Drosophila melanogaster: one gene and its partner. Changing the gene in region 1 together with any one later gene gives a genetic interaction. Each region holds a gene or a part of one and is shown in the gene's direction. Other genes may lie near its edges.

Region 1 (9,030 bases):
GAAAATAAAAGAGCCTGAATGTGCAACTGGCCAAAGCGAAGAGAACGGCCAAAAGAGAAAAAAGAGTCACTTGCACTTTTTTGAGCCCCTGTCATCGGGACAGTGGAGTACGGAGAAATTTCAAATGGGGCGACTTTAATTTATATAATGTTCATTTATAGATCAATAGAAGTGTTGAGTTTATTTCTAAGCAATTTTGAGATTCTATATAAATTCTATATAAATCTAGTAAAATTTCTTTAAATACTTGAATGAAGAAAAATGTTAAAAATATTTGCTTAAATCTTAATATATTTAATTATCAATATAGACCCCCTTTCCTACGCTCCTGCATCCCGTTTTTTTTTCGTATGGGTTTGTCTCTTTTCTGTGTGCCACATTGGAGTGCACGTAATTTTCCATTTAGTGGCAGGCAAATCGAAAACGAAAGTGGAAATGTTGCACTGTCGCCGGTGGCTCCAGCACCTCCTCGCTCGCCCACGCCGCTCGCTCTTGGCCAGCCGGTTGTAAATCCGAGGAAGAAACTTAAATAAAAAAAACCAACAACAACAACTCCTCCTCGCCAAACTCAAAAGCCAAAAATTGTGAAAAGGAAATCCGCAAATGCGGAAGAGACCGTCCAAACTCAGTCCAGTCCAGTCAGTCAGTCAAACGATCCGTGACTCAAGACCATTATCTTTCATTATAGCCATTGCACCGCACTTGGTTCTGCCCGATTGAGCTGTCAAAGGGCACCGGATTTGGGAAGCCAGGGAACCCAACCCATATACCCGATAAGAAACCCTCACCATGATAGAACGGGAAATTATCCAGTAAGTGTTAATCCTTATCGGTGGTTTGTCCACACATATGGCACGGATGAAATGTCACAATCAGTTGGTGCAGTTTAAGCAATATAGTTGATATGTTGAAATTAATATTTATTTACAGCTCTAAATATGTTATAATTTATAATATTTACTATTTCATTTGTTTAGTAGCTCTGGTTAAATCTATCAATATATGTAAATGCTTTTTCCAACCCAGGCAGCCTTGACTATGATTCCCTTGGCCAACAACGGGAGTACCCGAAAAAGGGGGCCAAGACCCAGTGTCAATATTTCGAGGCGCCTTGAGCCCCACCAGCATTCTCCAATATCTTATGTTGTACTATATTATGGGGTCTTGGCAAAGTCCGAGCCGAGCGCTTGAACATTGCACATGCAGCGGGCGCATACAAATAGATAAATTAAATCATTTGGGGGTTTGTCGAGACTCGACTTTGTTTCAATATTTGCCAACTCGGAGTGGCCAGCAAACGCTTCTAGCTGTTGCGAATTTCGCTACGATCGGTGCACTATATATGTATGTTCTATATTGCAGCACAACACCTGCCTCGAAGCGCATCTTCGACGTCCTCAAGGATGTCCTGCAATTTTTCGAGCTCTATGTGCGAATTCTGTTGGAGCTGTTTGTGTCGCTGGTGCAGATTGTGCTGCCCAAAAAGCAGAAGGATGTCAGCGGGGAGATAGTTTTGGTAAGAGCATTACATGTGCAAAAATAACATAATAAGTTAATACCAACTTGTATTTGCGCAGATAACCGGAACTGGGCATGGAATTGGTCGGGAGTTGGCCCTACACTATGCTTCATTGGGTAGCACAGTGGTTTGTGTGGATATCGATGGCAAAAATAATCTGCAGACGGTGGAGAAGGCCAAACGGCTCAATCTCGGCGAGGTTTACAGCTACAGGTATTAAGTATACTTACTAAATGTTTAAATAAATAATAACATTATGTTCAACATTGGCAGCTGCGATGTTTCCAAGCGCGATGAGGTTACGGCACTGGCGGATCGGATCAAGTCGGATGTTGGATGCATATCGGTGCTGGTTAATAATGTGGGCATAATGCCAACGCATCCCATTCTGCAGCAATCGGCCGAGGAAATCCAGCGGGTCTTCGACGTGAACGTGTTCTCGCAGTTCTGGACCATCCAGGCCTTCTTGCCGCACATGCAGGAGAAGTGTCGTGGCCACATCATTTGCATGTCCTCCATTGCCGGCTTGGTGGGCATCTCCAACCTGGTGCCCTATTGTGCCACCAAATTCGCTGTACGCGGTCTGATGGAGGCACTGCATGCCGAATTACGACAGGGACCTTTCAGGGATCTGGTAGAATAACCATGTGAATGTGCTAGATTATGTGATCCATGTGTGAATCCATTTACAGATTCGAACCACCACCATCTTTCCCTATATGACCAACACTGGCCTCTGCAAGCATCCCAAGGTGAAGTTCCCATCGATCCTGGGCCTGCTCGATCCCAAGCAGGTGGCCAAAAGGATCGTGGAGGCTCATCGCACCGACCTCATGGAGGTAACCATCCCGAGCTGCCTCCTCTACATCAACAACTGGACGCGACTCCTGCCCGATCATTGCGGCCTGATGCTTAAGGACTTTATCGACAGCGGTGTGGAGTCGGATTTGATTTAGTTTACCTTCTATATTCATATATTAGATCTTAGATCGAACTACAATATGTTGCAGTACAATAAACTTACTATTGGAGTATGCATTAAAATAAAGCTATAGAGATTTTCAGCTTGGTACAAAGTAAGTGCACAGTTTACCATTTTGATCATTATCAAAAAATTATTTGATTTATTTTGTATTCTAACTTATAATTTAACATCTATGCATATAAGCCAAGTATTTATTAGTTTGGGCAGATTAGATGAATAACATCCTCTCAGTTTATAATGTTTTAAAATTACGTACAACAAAGAAAATTACTTTAATGAATTTCATTAGTTCGTTATTATTGGAGTTACCTGTTGCATTGAAATCGATACATAATCGATAATCGATACATCTGGCTATAGCTAAATTTACCTGCACTGTCAACTCCACTGCAAATCAGCTGTGTGATGAAAACAAAAGGCGATGGCTTGCGAAGTAAAACACTGCGGAGAAATCCGTGATTTTAAGAAAGTCCAAGAATACTTTGGACTCGGACATGGTAAGATAAGACAAGTCTCTGCAGCAAGTATTCATAGCTAAACCGATCCGTGCAGATGACAACTGGTTAAACGCGATAAACCATGCCATTTCACCAACTGGGGAACTGATTGCCATGGCGCAGGGTGAAAAGTTGGCATTCCTCAGCACCTGCTGGAGCAGCCATGGCAATGGCAACACCTACGTTCTTGGCTGGTGCGGCGAGCTGGAGGATCCCAACCAAATCGTGACTAGCCTCACCTGCTTGCCGATGACTCAGAACAAAAGCACCGATGGAGCCATCGAATGGACCTGCGTGGCAGTTGGCCTGTGCTCTGGCATGGTTACCTTCTACACGGACTCGGGTGTAAAACTCTTCTCGCAATGGTTAGTTGTGGAATTAAATGTATCTACGGCATTAACCATCTATATTTTTCAAGTTGCCAAGAGGATCCAGTAATTGGAGTCAAGCTGCAGTCCGCTCCGCGACATTCTGAGGCAGATTCACTGCTCTACATCATCTATCCTCGCTGCCTGTGCTTCATCCAGGGCCAGGACATTTTGCCCACGCTGAACAATTGCCGGCACAATGTGCAAAGAGGTGCATTGGAGCGTAGTTCGTATCCCACTGCTGATGTGGTGCCATTCCAGAAGTATAAGTTCAAGCAAGAACGAGAGGCCGTCATTAATGATGCTGCCATCTCTACCACCCAGCGACCTCCCACATACGACTACATTGTTCAGCAGACCATCGGTCTCGGTTATTTCGCCAAGGTGCACGCCACGCCGCCGAGGAGCTCACAGGTTCTGGCCGCCGGAGCAGAACCCTATTTGGGCTTCTTTCAGGCGGAGGAGGGTTATAAAACGATGTCGCTGGGTGAGGTTGCCAAAGACGTAATCGGAATAGCTTACAAGAACCTGCTGGGCGGAATCTTTCGACGCGCTCCAGAGCCCCTGCCATCGCCCGAGGAATCACCACTGCCGGTGCCCACGAAAGAAGCACCGATGCGGATTCGCTGTCGTCTATATGACGGCAAGAGAGATGGACTGACCTTGTCTGTGGCACCTGGTGGACGCCTGGCTGTCGTTACCGATAATCTCGACCGTGTAATGTTGGTGGATACGCACCAGGCTATTATCTTGCGTGTTTGGAAGGGCTATCGAGATGCACAGTGCGCATTCGTGCCAGTTAAAGAAAAATCCGTTCGCGGTATCAAAACGCACAAGCGAAAGGCTTTGTTCCTGGTGATCTACGCTCCTCGAATGGGCTGCCTGGACATATGGGCTTTGCAAAACGGACCCAAGGTGGCTGCATTCAATGTTTCGAAGAGCGGGCAACTTATGTACAACAATCATAGTCCCCTAGGCTCAGGCGGCAGCAGTGGATCTGGTAATAGCAGTAGTCAGTCAAGAAAATCTTTAGCCATCAATCATTGCTTGTTCCTGGACCCCAGCGATGGCAGCCTGAAGGAGATACACATTCCTTTTCACTACGCGCTCAGCGAGACCAGCTCCCAGACATCACGGGATATCCATATGCTGAGGCGCCTCAGAAACCAGCTCAGAACCATAAACCATGGCCAAGCCAAAGATGAAGCGCTGCAGGAGATTGGCGAACTGGCAAGTGAACTGCAGACGTTAGAGGTGCGACAACAGTGTCTGGAGATGTTGCTTAAGAGCAAGAAGCTGCAGCCACAGGTGTTTCAATCCATCATTAATGCCTTCATAAAGAAACCTCTTTCTGAATCAACGGGCTCCGAGGAGTTTGTCAACCAAATCGAGAACTATAAACGCTTGACTGATCTCTACTTGGCCCTAAGTCAAGCCAATCAGCGTGAAGACAACGAGCCACCCGTAGAATACTTGGAGCTTTCCGATGCTGATCTTGTCACCATTAACAAGTTGGTTCTGCTCCTGGACGATGGCACCGAGAAGGATAAACCCGCCGCCACTCGTGAAGTGAGCTTCAAGTTGCAGGCGGAGCACAAGACCGAAGAATTTGTCGATTACCTGAGCATCTTTAACATCGATAGTCCGGATGGGATAAGTCTACTTCCGGAGAAGTCAGATAAGTTTGGCGCCGTAAGCATCGATCTCTTTAGTCAGTTCTTTGCCCAAGGTCTATGCTTTGGCCAATTCAAGCAGTGGATCAATCAGGCGTGTTTGCCCAGCAGAGATTTGCTTAAATTGATTATTTGGTTTTGGCTTGAGAAGCCCTTTAAGTACAACAACTGGTGAGAAAAACATATTTTATAAATTCCGTTCTCAATTTATGTGCAATCTACTTTTCTTACTTTAGTGATGAAGTAGTGGAGGACATGTCCAGAATTGCTGCTATGGTGCAGACCATTTGTGATCTGGCTGGTGAACACATCCATGACTATGCCTACAATGCCATTTCACCGTGGTGGCAGGAAGTTCGGGAACTTCTCTTGGAGAGTAAACAATTTTCGGGCTTGCTGGTGGCCATTGTATGCAAAACGGTAGCGACTAATTTGTGGCGAAACAGAAAAGAGGTAGGTCTACTCCTAGTCATTAAAATCAAAAACTCTTTTGCGAAAAACACTTTTTCCTTAGGGATCTTGTGATGAATCCTCGCAGAACGAAGATGATGAGCGCTGGGAGCGTATCTCCCACGATGAGGCTCAGTGGGGATTGCTCACTGGCAAGCTAGAGGATGTGGCCGTGCTAGGAGCCATACTAAGGTAAGTGCCAAATCAATCGTTCCACTTAGCTCCTTTATGAACCACTGCTTCCTTCGCAGTAAGCCTCTCATCTGCCGGGATCCTGTTGGTCCAGAGATGTCCTACGAGCCACCGGACTGCAGTCTCAAAAGCATTGTGAGCAGTGGCAAAGGCATCGTCACCGAACTGACAGCCAAGTGGCTGATCAGTGCACAATTGCATCCGAGTAAAGTTTTGGAGATATCGCCTCCCGAAAACGAGTTAGACGACGAGAGCAAAGTTAAGATAAAGGATGAGCCTACCAAGGAGTCAGTCGATGAAGACGCGGAATCAGAAGAGGATTTGGAAATGGCAAAGGAAGTGTACGCGGCGAGTAAAGAAGCCCATGAACCTATTCTTGAAAGATTGGCTCTGCTGCGTGCGCATTTTCCCTTCAGCTTGGAATCGGGCGTCCTCTTAAGTCTCATGTCGTGGCAGTACATGGTCCAGTGGAGCAAGCAGCTCTCATCGCTGGACCACCTAAAGGCAGCATTACTTTGTTTAAACCAATTCCGTACACCTGACTGGGCCCTGAAGCATGGAATATGTTGCATGCTGTGGAATGCCACCCTGAAGTTTCCTCTACAGGCGGCGGCGAAGCTTATTCAAAAAGTGGGACGCCTGCCAGTGGACAAGATGTGCCAGCAAGATCTCGAGATGTCTGCGGGTAAAGTGCCAGAGTTTCTAGAACTCAGCCTCGAATTCCTGCAGCATTTCACCGCTTCCATGGAGCACGATAAGCGTGAACTGCACTTCGAGCAGTCGCTCAGCGAAGGAGCCCTGCCATTGCAGTTTCTGGCTCTCCAGCAGCACCATGCCATGCCGCAGCTGCTCCGTCTTCAAACAGAACTGTGCAGCGTGCTGCACTTCGTTTCCTTTTTCCAGCTGCGCATTCCAAAACCACTGACCACGCTTTTTGACTCCATGAGCAACAAAGCTCTGCTGGCGGACATCAATAAGGAACTGCCTTATGTTTTGCCTGCACCAGATCTTGTCCTGCAACAGCAGCGCACTGAGTTCCTGTGTCGCCTTGTCACCGCTACCATGGATCTGATTAGAGAGGATTTGGAGCAGCTGTACATTCTCGATCATGTTTTCTACATGGGCAAGATCTGTGCCTTAGCCGACAGTTGGGAGGTCGATAAACTTCCTATCCTACGACGGCAGGTAAGAATGTACATACATATATGATCCCAGAATTCCTAATCTAGGAACCCATGAACACACATGACAGGGAGCTTACAATCCCTTTTGCCTTTCAACATCAGTTCGTTAGTTTGCTCCGTAGAGAGCACAACAGAGGAAACACAATGGAATAGAAAATATATTCCAAATATTTTTCCCTCCTCCAGGTGGTGGAACTGTACGCTTTTGGGTATGATGCGGAGGCTCAAGTGTTGCTCCAGGACATCAGCGATGACGAGGAGCTGGGCCGACTGCTGCTGGAGATCGCTGGCCGTAGACTTAATCTTTACGCACAGAGCTCGCAGTCCACGTTCCTGAAGATTGCCTCTGTTGGCCACCAGTTGCTGGCCTACCTAGACAACCTGGTAAGTGCTGCAAGCGCATATATCATTCGCAGTACTGATCCATTTCTCACGCCGCTTACGCAGAAGGAACCGATGACGGAGAACAACATTCAGATCGCGGCCACCAAGCCCGACGAGATCGATGTGGCTGCCCTGGACAGGCTGTTGTCGCATGCCTACAAATACCTTTGCCGGCGCGAGTCCAAGCAGCTGCCCATCATTGGCCAGATGTACAACGCCGTGCGTATCCTGCAGAATTAGGAGTGAGGATGACACATAAACACTTGGTTATTTTACATTTCTCTCATGATTTTTATGGATTCAAGAATGAACCCAATATTGATTGTTAAAGCACCACATGCGGTCCCATTAATTGTCTTATACTTATCAACCTAGTAGCGATTTAAACAACCTACGAAAAGCATCATATTAATTACTTTCAAGAAAAAGGATACTAAGATCTGCACCGATAGGAGGATGTATTCAACACGAATTTGATGTGAAGCTTATGCCTACAAGGATTATGAACATGTATATTTAATAAAATAAAAAAAAAAATTTTAATATTCTTTTACTAAATTTAAGGGATACCAAAAGATAAAATAACAATACTTTCTTTATTGATGCCCAACGTAATTTAATTTATATTTGAGCAGGGATCCAAGCGGGTCTTTGAACTTCGTGCCTTGGGCGCTGCCTCCAAGTTCTCCGCCTGTATTCGTCCGATTGCCTCCGGCGTGGGCAATCTCTCCGGCATCATGGTGGCGTGCACTTTGAGATGAGTGTAGACGGCAATGTAGCTCTGGCTGGTGTCCAGTTCGATGGGTGGACTCTGCTCTATGCGGCCAGGCAGGGCAAAGTGCTTGCCAAGAATGGGTTCCTTGAGAGATCGGGCCAGAATTTTTTGCAGTCCATCGCGGTCGGTGTCCAACTGCTCGCTGTTGAAACTTGAATTCATTGAGAATTAATTGAATCTAAGGATTTTGAATTCCAATGTGTAGTCCCTGGAGTTTTATCCGAACAAAAGATACGACGACCCGAGTTGCACTAGGTTAGTGGCACTGACTCCGACTAATCGAAAAACAACAGTTCCTCCTTCATGGCAACAAGTAGTTCAGTTTGGCATACCTTTCGTTTGCGAGGAGCCACCTCGGTTATGACTTATTTATTATTCGAGGCAGAAAGTTGATTCTCTGGTTTGTTCAATTTGGGAACTCGGCTGGGACACGCAAGGCCAAGAAGCAAAGAACTTGTTTCGTGGGTGAAGTTTATCATGTTGATAAACATGTAGAATAATGAGGAATGTCGTTAGAGACAGTTTCATGTGGTTCCTTAATAGTCGCAGGATTGCTTTTATAGGCATACAGTAAACTCACGATAGTGCTGACCTGACCATCTATTTTCTTCGTTAAATAAGTACGCTCAAATAGAATACGTTTGTATATAGATGTGTATTGGGCTTAGCTACAGAATGGGTTATAGAGGTTGAACAATCACTTAAGGGTTTACTAGGCTAGGGTCTCTACAGGCAGCGGGCAATCAGTTCGTTGATGGCAGTGCCACGATCGCCGTACTCGCCACCGCGTTTGTACGAGACGGATACCTTCTTTTGCCAACCATTGCTGGGACTGGACAACTGGAAAAAACCAAATGGCGGTAATAGTATAGTTTTAAGAATTGCAAAAGAGAAGTTGTTAACCAACCGTGAAGGCGCACAGAAACTCATTTACAGCGGCGAAGTTTGGACCCACTGTGCAAATTTCGTGGATTATATCCTCCAGACAGATGACACCCTTGTC
Region 2 (6,849 bases), on another chromosome or scaffold:
CCTCGGATATCGAAATTATCCCAAGACTTCAAAGGGAACTCACCTCGCTTGGCGACTTCGAAGACATACTACTACTGCTTGTCTTGGGGAAATCCGTCCTGGTGTTCCTGCCGATTCCTGCTCCAAGTCCTGGCTGCTCCGCTCGCTGGCTATCTGTTCCGTTTCCTCCGTGGCCAAAGCTCTGCGTAAAGTCTGCTTTTAAGTAAATGTTATTAGAAAAATAAATATCTGAGTGGATAGTGTGACCCTCCGGGCAGTGTTGAAAACGATTCGTGCATCGCACGTACAAATTGTGAGCGAAACTAAAAAATACCGCACTCAGCTGTTCCGCGTGTAGGTATTTTTGAGTTTTCCGCTTTGAACGCCGGTAAATAGTTTAATTTCAGCGGAGTACAATAATTGTTTTAAAAATTTGTCAATCCAATTTGGGTTGACAAGTTATACTGACGACAGTTTAGAAAAGTTGTTGTGGTCCCTAGAATGGATGTGTTTTTTTTAGATGTGTTTAGTACAAACAGCTGATTCAACACAGTATTTTCGATGTACAGTAGATACCCGTAAGAAAGAATAGGACAAACAATTAGCTTATTTTTAAGCTATGAAATATATGTATTTTGCCAGTTTTTTAAGCAAAGATGCTTTTTTTATTTAAATTTGGCTACATTTAATTCTATATCTATTTTAAAAGCTGTATCTCGTATTGAATACTCACTGTTACATTAATATTTCGTTATACTTAATTAAAGTCTACTGTAAGCGTGCAGCACTGTTTGCAACCATAATAAAAACAACGGAAAAAGTGTTTATTGCAATTTTAAAAGAGAGCAGTAAAGTTTATCTCATCTTTGGAGGCGCGATGGAGAGCGGATTTGATAAGAGCTGATAAGACGCAGCCAGCTTCGCAAGCACCTTTAAAAGCATGCTCAGTACCAAATCGCCTTCCATTGGGATTGGGTATCAACTCAAAGCGGATCCAGAATGCATTTCGGAGTCTTGGGAAGCGGTATCATTGGTCTTACGACCGCCTTAGAACTCCAGAAGGAGTTTCCCACAGCAAGGGTTTCCGTGATTGCGGATCGGTTTAACGAGGACACCGTCAGCTATGTGGCGGCTGGAATTTTCCGACCTGGAACCAGCTTTATGGGCCCCACCCAGAAAATTACGCAGTGAGAATCTGTTTGGGATTCAAACACACCTGTTGTGCATCTAACGACTTTTCTTTTCATCGTAGACAATGGATGACCGATGCCTTCAACTACTGGGATGAGCTGCGTCGCTCCAAGGAGGCTCCTCTGGCGGGCGTGTGCCAATTATCCGGCTATATTTACTCCCGCACCTCCCCCTCCATCGTACGGGTACGTTGCCGGGCAGTCGACAATCAGTGATTCTTATCTTCATCGGCTTAATTCGATTAACTTTGTTGTTGGCTGCCTTAGAACCACTTTATTGAGAAACTATTGCCCGTCTACCGAAGAGCCACCGAGGAGGAACTGAGGCTATGCAACGGCGGCTGGAAGTACGGATCCTTCTTCACCACATGCCTAACGGAAAGCCGCCTCTTCTTGCCCTATGCCACTAAAAAGTGAGTAGCTGTTTTATGATATGAAAGAGAAACAATTTGAAAATAATCGTAAATATTAACATATTGTAGATTCCTGGAGAACGGAGGAGAGGTTGTCCGTCAGCATGTGAACAGCTTTTTCGAAGTGCCGCAGAACATTGACTTGCTCCTTAACTGCACCGGAATGGGAGCCAAGGAGTTGTGTGGGGACCAGCACTTGGTTCCCATTCGGGGTCAAGTGCTCAAAGTGCGTGCTCCCTGGGTAAAGACGGCTTTCTACGGCGATTACGACACCTACGTTCTTCCCGGATTTGAGACTGTGACCCTGGGAGGATGTCGCCAATTCGACAGCTACAACACCGAGTGGTGCAAATACGATAGCATGGCCATTCGAGAGCGTTGCTACGATTTGCTGCCCAGTCTCCGGAAAGCGGAGATCGTGCGGGAATGTGTTGGTCTGCGGCCACACCGCTCCGTCGTTCGGGTGGAGCCAGAACTGATCACGAATCCGGAAGGCAGGCGGCTGAAGGTAGTCCACAACTACGGCCACGGCGGCTACGGTGTGACCACGGCTCCTGGAACGGCTATGTACGCAGTTCGATTGGTACGCGATCTACTAGCGGGAAACAGTAAACTGTAGGTGGTAAAATCGTTGTTAATTGTTGGTCATTAAACTCTTTATACTCAGAATCTTTGAACCCAGATTTGATTTGGATTTTTTATTGTGCAATAAACTAATTGCAGTTCTCAAGGTTGCGATATGCGCCAGTTCCAAAGGTTTCAAGAAGGAATATTTAGAATATTTAAAGAAACAATTCTTATAAATTTTATTTACTGTTTTTATGAGTTCCTTGGTCTATATTGTTTCAGGATAAGAACATGGGTTCACAAAGTGAACGAATAAATTCGCGCCCACGAATAAATTCAAATGAACCCCTGGGCCAGTGCTCCACAAGGCTGCGGAAGTGCGAAGTGCGCATGACCGGCGCATGAATGGAAAGCTCGCCCGAAATCGCCGCGAAAGCTACGCCCACACACAGACACCCCAGGCACGGAAACCCATCGATTTTCAGCAGCAGGAAAAGCAGCAGGGAAATTGTGTGGGCAGCAGCCAGTCATCCAGTCAGTCAGTTAGCCAGCCAGTCAGCCAGGTTGAAACAGTTGAATTATGAAAACGTATACAAAACTGGCCCGTTTTCGCCGCACCAGTCAATTCGCCGCCTGAGAGCGAAGAAAAAATTGAAAATTGTGTGTCCTTTGGTGTCGACGTGTCGAGGCAAAAAGGTAGAACAGTTGGTGCGTTGCATTTGCTGAATAATTGAGCCACTGCAGCCGGAGTCAGTTCAATTCTGGCCAGACGAGTGGGTCCGCGGGCGTGTGAATAGTTGATTGGGTAACCGTAAACAACTCGACGAATCAATCGACGTGAAATCGCGGCGTATGTCAGTCCAGTGCCAAGGCTGAGTCGAGTCCTTTTCCTTATCCCTTCAGCGAAAGGAGCTGCCATTATCGATTTGTGTGTATGTGCGAGCAACAACACGGCGTACCTCTCACCCACACATCGAAAACAGCAGGATATTCTTGTGACAGCAGGATCTGCAGCAGCACCATCATAAACAGCAACTGAGATATTAGCAGCAGATACTACTGTAACCGCAATAACCTCAAGAAAGAGTAAGTTTATCTGACACATTAAGTATCCGCCATGATGGACCAAAATGGGTGAATGGGGGTACTAGTTCCAGCTAAAACCAAAATACCTGAGTTTTCGCATCAAAAACTTTGCAGTATCAGTTCCATATTGTCAAATAATGAGGCCGTTGGTTGGAATTTATTATTTTTACATTAAACTTCATTGATTTTGACATTATAAAGATTACACATCAACTTTTTAAAAGTATTTAAAAGGTATTTAATAACTCAATGTTACTTTTATAGTAGTTCCAAAAAAACTTCTGATGGATTTCAGCTTAGTGTATCATATCTTATTGACAATAGATATGGGCTATACATACATATGAATGTGGCCAAATAATACATATGTAGTTTTACAACTTCCAGGAAAGAGTTAATTGTTTATTCCCATTGATTGATAACTCGGTATTTATGCACATGCCTAATATTTACGTTTGACAACAAACCTTAAATTGAAACTTTTCCAATTGGAACCGTTAAGGCAGGATTGAGTTCTCGTTTTGGCCAATATTGGGTTTCTTATCAATAATTAAACAAGCCCGCAGCTGCCGACCGCTGAACAGCTGCCAAATCATTGGAAATTTGAAACATGAAAGAGCAGTTAAGGGGGTGGGTAATGGGGGCAGGGTCTGGCAGCCACCCCCACGCAGGGGGAAAACAACAGAAAAATCGATAATTACACGCAGTCGAGCAGATAAAAACATTTCCACACAGCGCCTGTGATAAGGGCCGTCTGCCGTTGAAGACCTCTTATTGCGGCCCCTCTTTGGTGTCTGCGTTTGGGTTTGGGTTTGGGTTTGGGTTCGGGCCCCTCCAGGATATTTCTGGGCCTGAAGAGGCTTGACAGGAGCGAAGCCTGTCCTTTTGCCAGCAAAATCCTTGACGATGACGCGCGCACTCGGTCCTTCTACACCAAGTCGTTCATCAGCAATCTGACAGCGTTTTGCCGCTGCGCAACTTCTGATTCTGGACGGGGGAAATAAGGATGAGCGGAAACGGAACCAGGAGAACCAGGCTATATACACAAATTATCGACACAATGTCGCCGCCTTCATTGCATATGGAAAACAGGCAGCCAACCATCCCGAATGGCAAACTGTAAGCCGAGACTGTTGTCACTTGCCCAAGCCAAGGCTGAAAGTTTTCAAGGCCGCACCAGCCCACCAGCCCACCAACCCGCCGTTCAGCTCTGAAATTCGCTTTGAGTTTTCCCAGTGACGTGACAGGGATAATCAAGTGGGTCCTTTCCCAAGTCAGGCCGCTAAAGCCAACCCCTCCCGCCTACTCCAAGGATTAAAAGTCAAGGGAATTGGGGGGTTATGCTTTAGAAAATATAAACGCAACTTGTTTAATCCACACGCACGCGATTCAATCACTTCCGGGCACAGAGAGAACTCCGGTTGGCCACCAGTTGGCCTTGACCGGTGTTTCATGTGCACCATCTAGCCCCACCGGTTCTTCGTGCAGCATGGACCACAAATGGAGTGTCTATGGATGACATAAAGGTTGATAATAGCACATTAGCTACTCGACCAGCTCCATGCGAATTCCGATGTTGACGCCATCGCCCACGCCGCAAAAGGCATCGGCCTTGCAGCCATTCTGTACACCCATGTTTCTTCCCGTTCCTCTGTTATGGATCATTAGCTCCTCCGGTGTATCCTGATGGATGCCGCACTTGGACTTGGATTCATTGACACCGCTGAATATCACAATGCCAGGATTGCAAAAGTTACCCTGATTGGGAGCCATCATAGGCATCTGAGATGGCTGTTCCAGTTGCCTAGGCGAATCCTTCCGCATCAGCGTAGTCATGCATATGCTAGTGTTGCTGCTACTAGTTATTATGGTCGTGGTATCTATGGTCTCAATTAGCTGACCTTCATCCTCGGAAGCAGCGATGGCCGCCTCGCTTGCTTGCTCCTGCTGAGCTTTCAAGTCGCTTTCCCTTTGCCGCTCCAGTTCGCGCTCTAGTTCCAATTGCTGCTCCTGCTCGATACGTTCCTCTTCGTGCTCCTCCTGAGCTTGAGCCTGGCATAGCTCCACATGCATTCTGGACAACTGGGCGGCATCGTATGGGCAGAAGCAGTTTAGGCTTACAACTCGATTGCCCATGTGCTGGACTGGTCGGCTGTTACGGGCTATGGGCGAGATCCCATCCGGACCTAGGAGCAAACGAAAGTGACGCAGCTGAAAGTCGCTAATGGCTAGGGATTCGGGAAAGATGAACCATTCGGTGCCCTGGTAACAGGGCGGATGGGTCAGCGAACCGCCGTAGGAATAGAATCCAGATCGAAATTGATACATCAAGTAGGATATGGGAAATGGAGAAATCTGGACACGCTTTCCAGGCTTCTGAACCAATCGCAAATTCTGCACCAGGGGATCCAGGAACGGATTGTGCGCGGATAGCTCAAAGACGTATCCGATCATCAGGAGATCATAGCTGCTGGTGCAAGTACGGGGAATACCCGATCCCGTTTTGTGCATCACCTGCATCTCAAGTGGGAACTTTCGGTGGTTGATCGTATGCTCGGATCCCTCGCTGTTGCACCAGCCCCAGTGGAAGCGCAGTTCCAGAAACGTATAGCTGGCCAGGAGATCAGCTCCACTGATAGTAGGTGCATTACCGTGGAACTGGGCACGGAGGATAAGTGTCTGACCCGTATTCTCCAGAGTGATGCTGGCGGGCAGATCATCATAGTGGTTCCAGCTCAGCAGCTCTCTTATGGCCATGCGTTGAATTTGAGATTCATCGATGTTGACTGGGCTCTGGAAGAAAGTCGCTTCCTCCACAGAACTGGAAGATGACCTGGACTTCGGCAACCAAGTATGCGGACCATGTTGCATGTCGTAACCGTATACTGGAGCAGAATTTCTTGAGCAAGATGTGTTCCCAAATTGAAGTGGAGTCCTAATCAAAAGGAGTACACGCTGATATATCTCCTTGAGTGTTTCCTGATCCGCGTGGTATGCAAATGCTCCCAACAGGCAAAGTCCAGTAGTAATCAATGGATGCTGGACCACTTGTCCCAGAATCTGACCAAATACTAGGATTATCAACTGCACCATAACGCTCAATACTGTTCCCAATGCGGTATCAAACATGTTGCCTTTTAGTAGACGCGGACTTGCATTAGAAAGCCAGTTATGGGATAAAAAGAATCTGCAAGTGCAGAAATGTCCAAACAAAAACGCGGAAACAAAATGCTCAACTCCTTTTAGATTTCCAAGTTATTTTACAAAACTTTCCGCTTCGTAGTTTTATGACTGTACGTTTTGAGAATGTGTTTATGTGACTGAGTTCTTAAAGGTTCTGTTGTCTTATATACCAGGTGACAGTCAAATCTAGCCTGCTACTTTGTTAATCTCATCTTGATATCATGAGACGTTAAATAGATCATGTGGATTAGTTATAATAAAGTGTACAAAATTTAAATAAGTCCCAAACAAATGTCTTAGGGAGTAGTAAGATATTGCAAGACTACTAATCCTAATCGTTTCTAATCCTTGTTTCCATTCCCTCCGTGCAGCACCGCTCTAAACGGATAAAATGGCGAGTGGCGGAGACCCCAAGTGGCAGAAGGATGCCG

The links. A genetic interaction does not mean that the proteins touch.
Region 2: of Rab3-GAP (region 1) and Rab3, changing one enhances a phenotype caused by changing the other (phenotypic enhancement), as found in Drosophila melanogaster (one study listed by BioGRID).

Annotation. Positions count from the first base shown.
Region 1 is NT_033779.5:12,057,052-12,066,081, reverse strand, and holds Rab3-GAP (Rab3 GTPase activating protein), read left to right. Parts: upstream 1-2,897; 5' UTR 2,898-2,925; coding exon 2,926-3,001; intron 3,002-3,056; coding exon 3,057-3,366; intron 3,367-3,419; coding exon 3,420-5,213; intron 5,214-5,278; coding exon 5,279-5,495; intron 5,496-5,556; coding exon 5,557-5,684; intron 5,685-5,743; coding exon 5,744-6,869; intron 6,870-7,054; coding exon 7,055-7,252; intron 7,253-7,315; coding exon 7,316-7,492; 3' UTR 7,493-7,778; downstream 7,779-9,030. Other genes in the region: firl (firelighter), read left to right, coding at 790-812, 1,363-1,516, 1,578-1,732, 1,793-2,153, 2,212-2,475; CG34164 (uncharacterized protein), read right to left, coding at 7,869-8,189; RpL7-like (ribosomal protein L7-like), read right to left, coding at 8,754-8,867, 8,935-9,030.
Region 2 is NT_033778.4:10,724,991-10,731,839, reverse strand, and holds the start of Rab3 (Rab3), read left to right. Parts: upstream 1-2,636; 5' UTR 2,637-3,235; intron 3,236-4,567; exon of another isoform or gene 4,568-4,780; coding exon of another isoform or gene 4,781-6,364; exon of another isoform or gene 6,365-6,570; intron 6,571-6,789; 5' UTR 6,790-6,809; coding exon 6,810-6,849. Other genes in the region: Daao1 (D-amino acid oxidase 1), read left to right, coding at 979-1,166, 1,232-1,355, 1,437-1,582, 1,652-2,201; CAH13 (carbonic anhydrase 13), read right to left, coding at 4,781-6,364. UniProt on the Drosophila melanogaster protein: Involved in exocytosis by regulating a late step in synaptic vesicle fusion. Could play a role in neurotransmitter release by regulating membrane flow in the nerve terminal.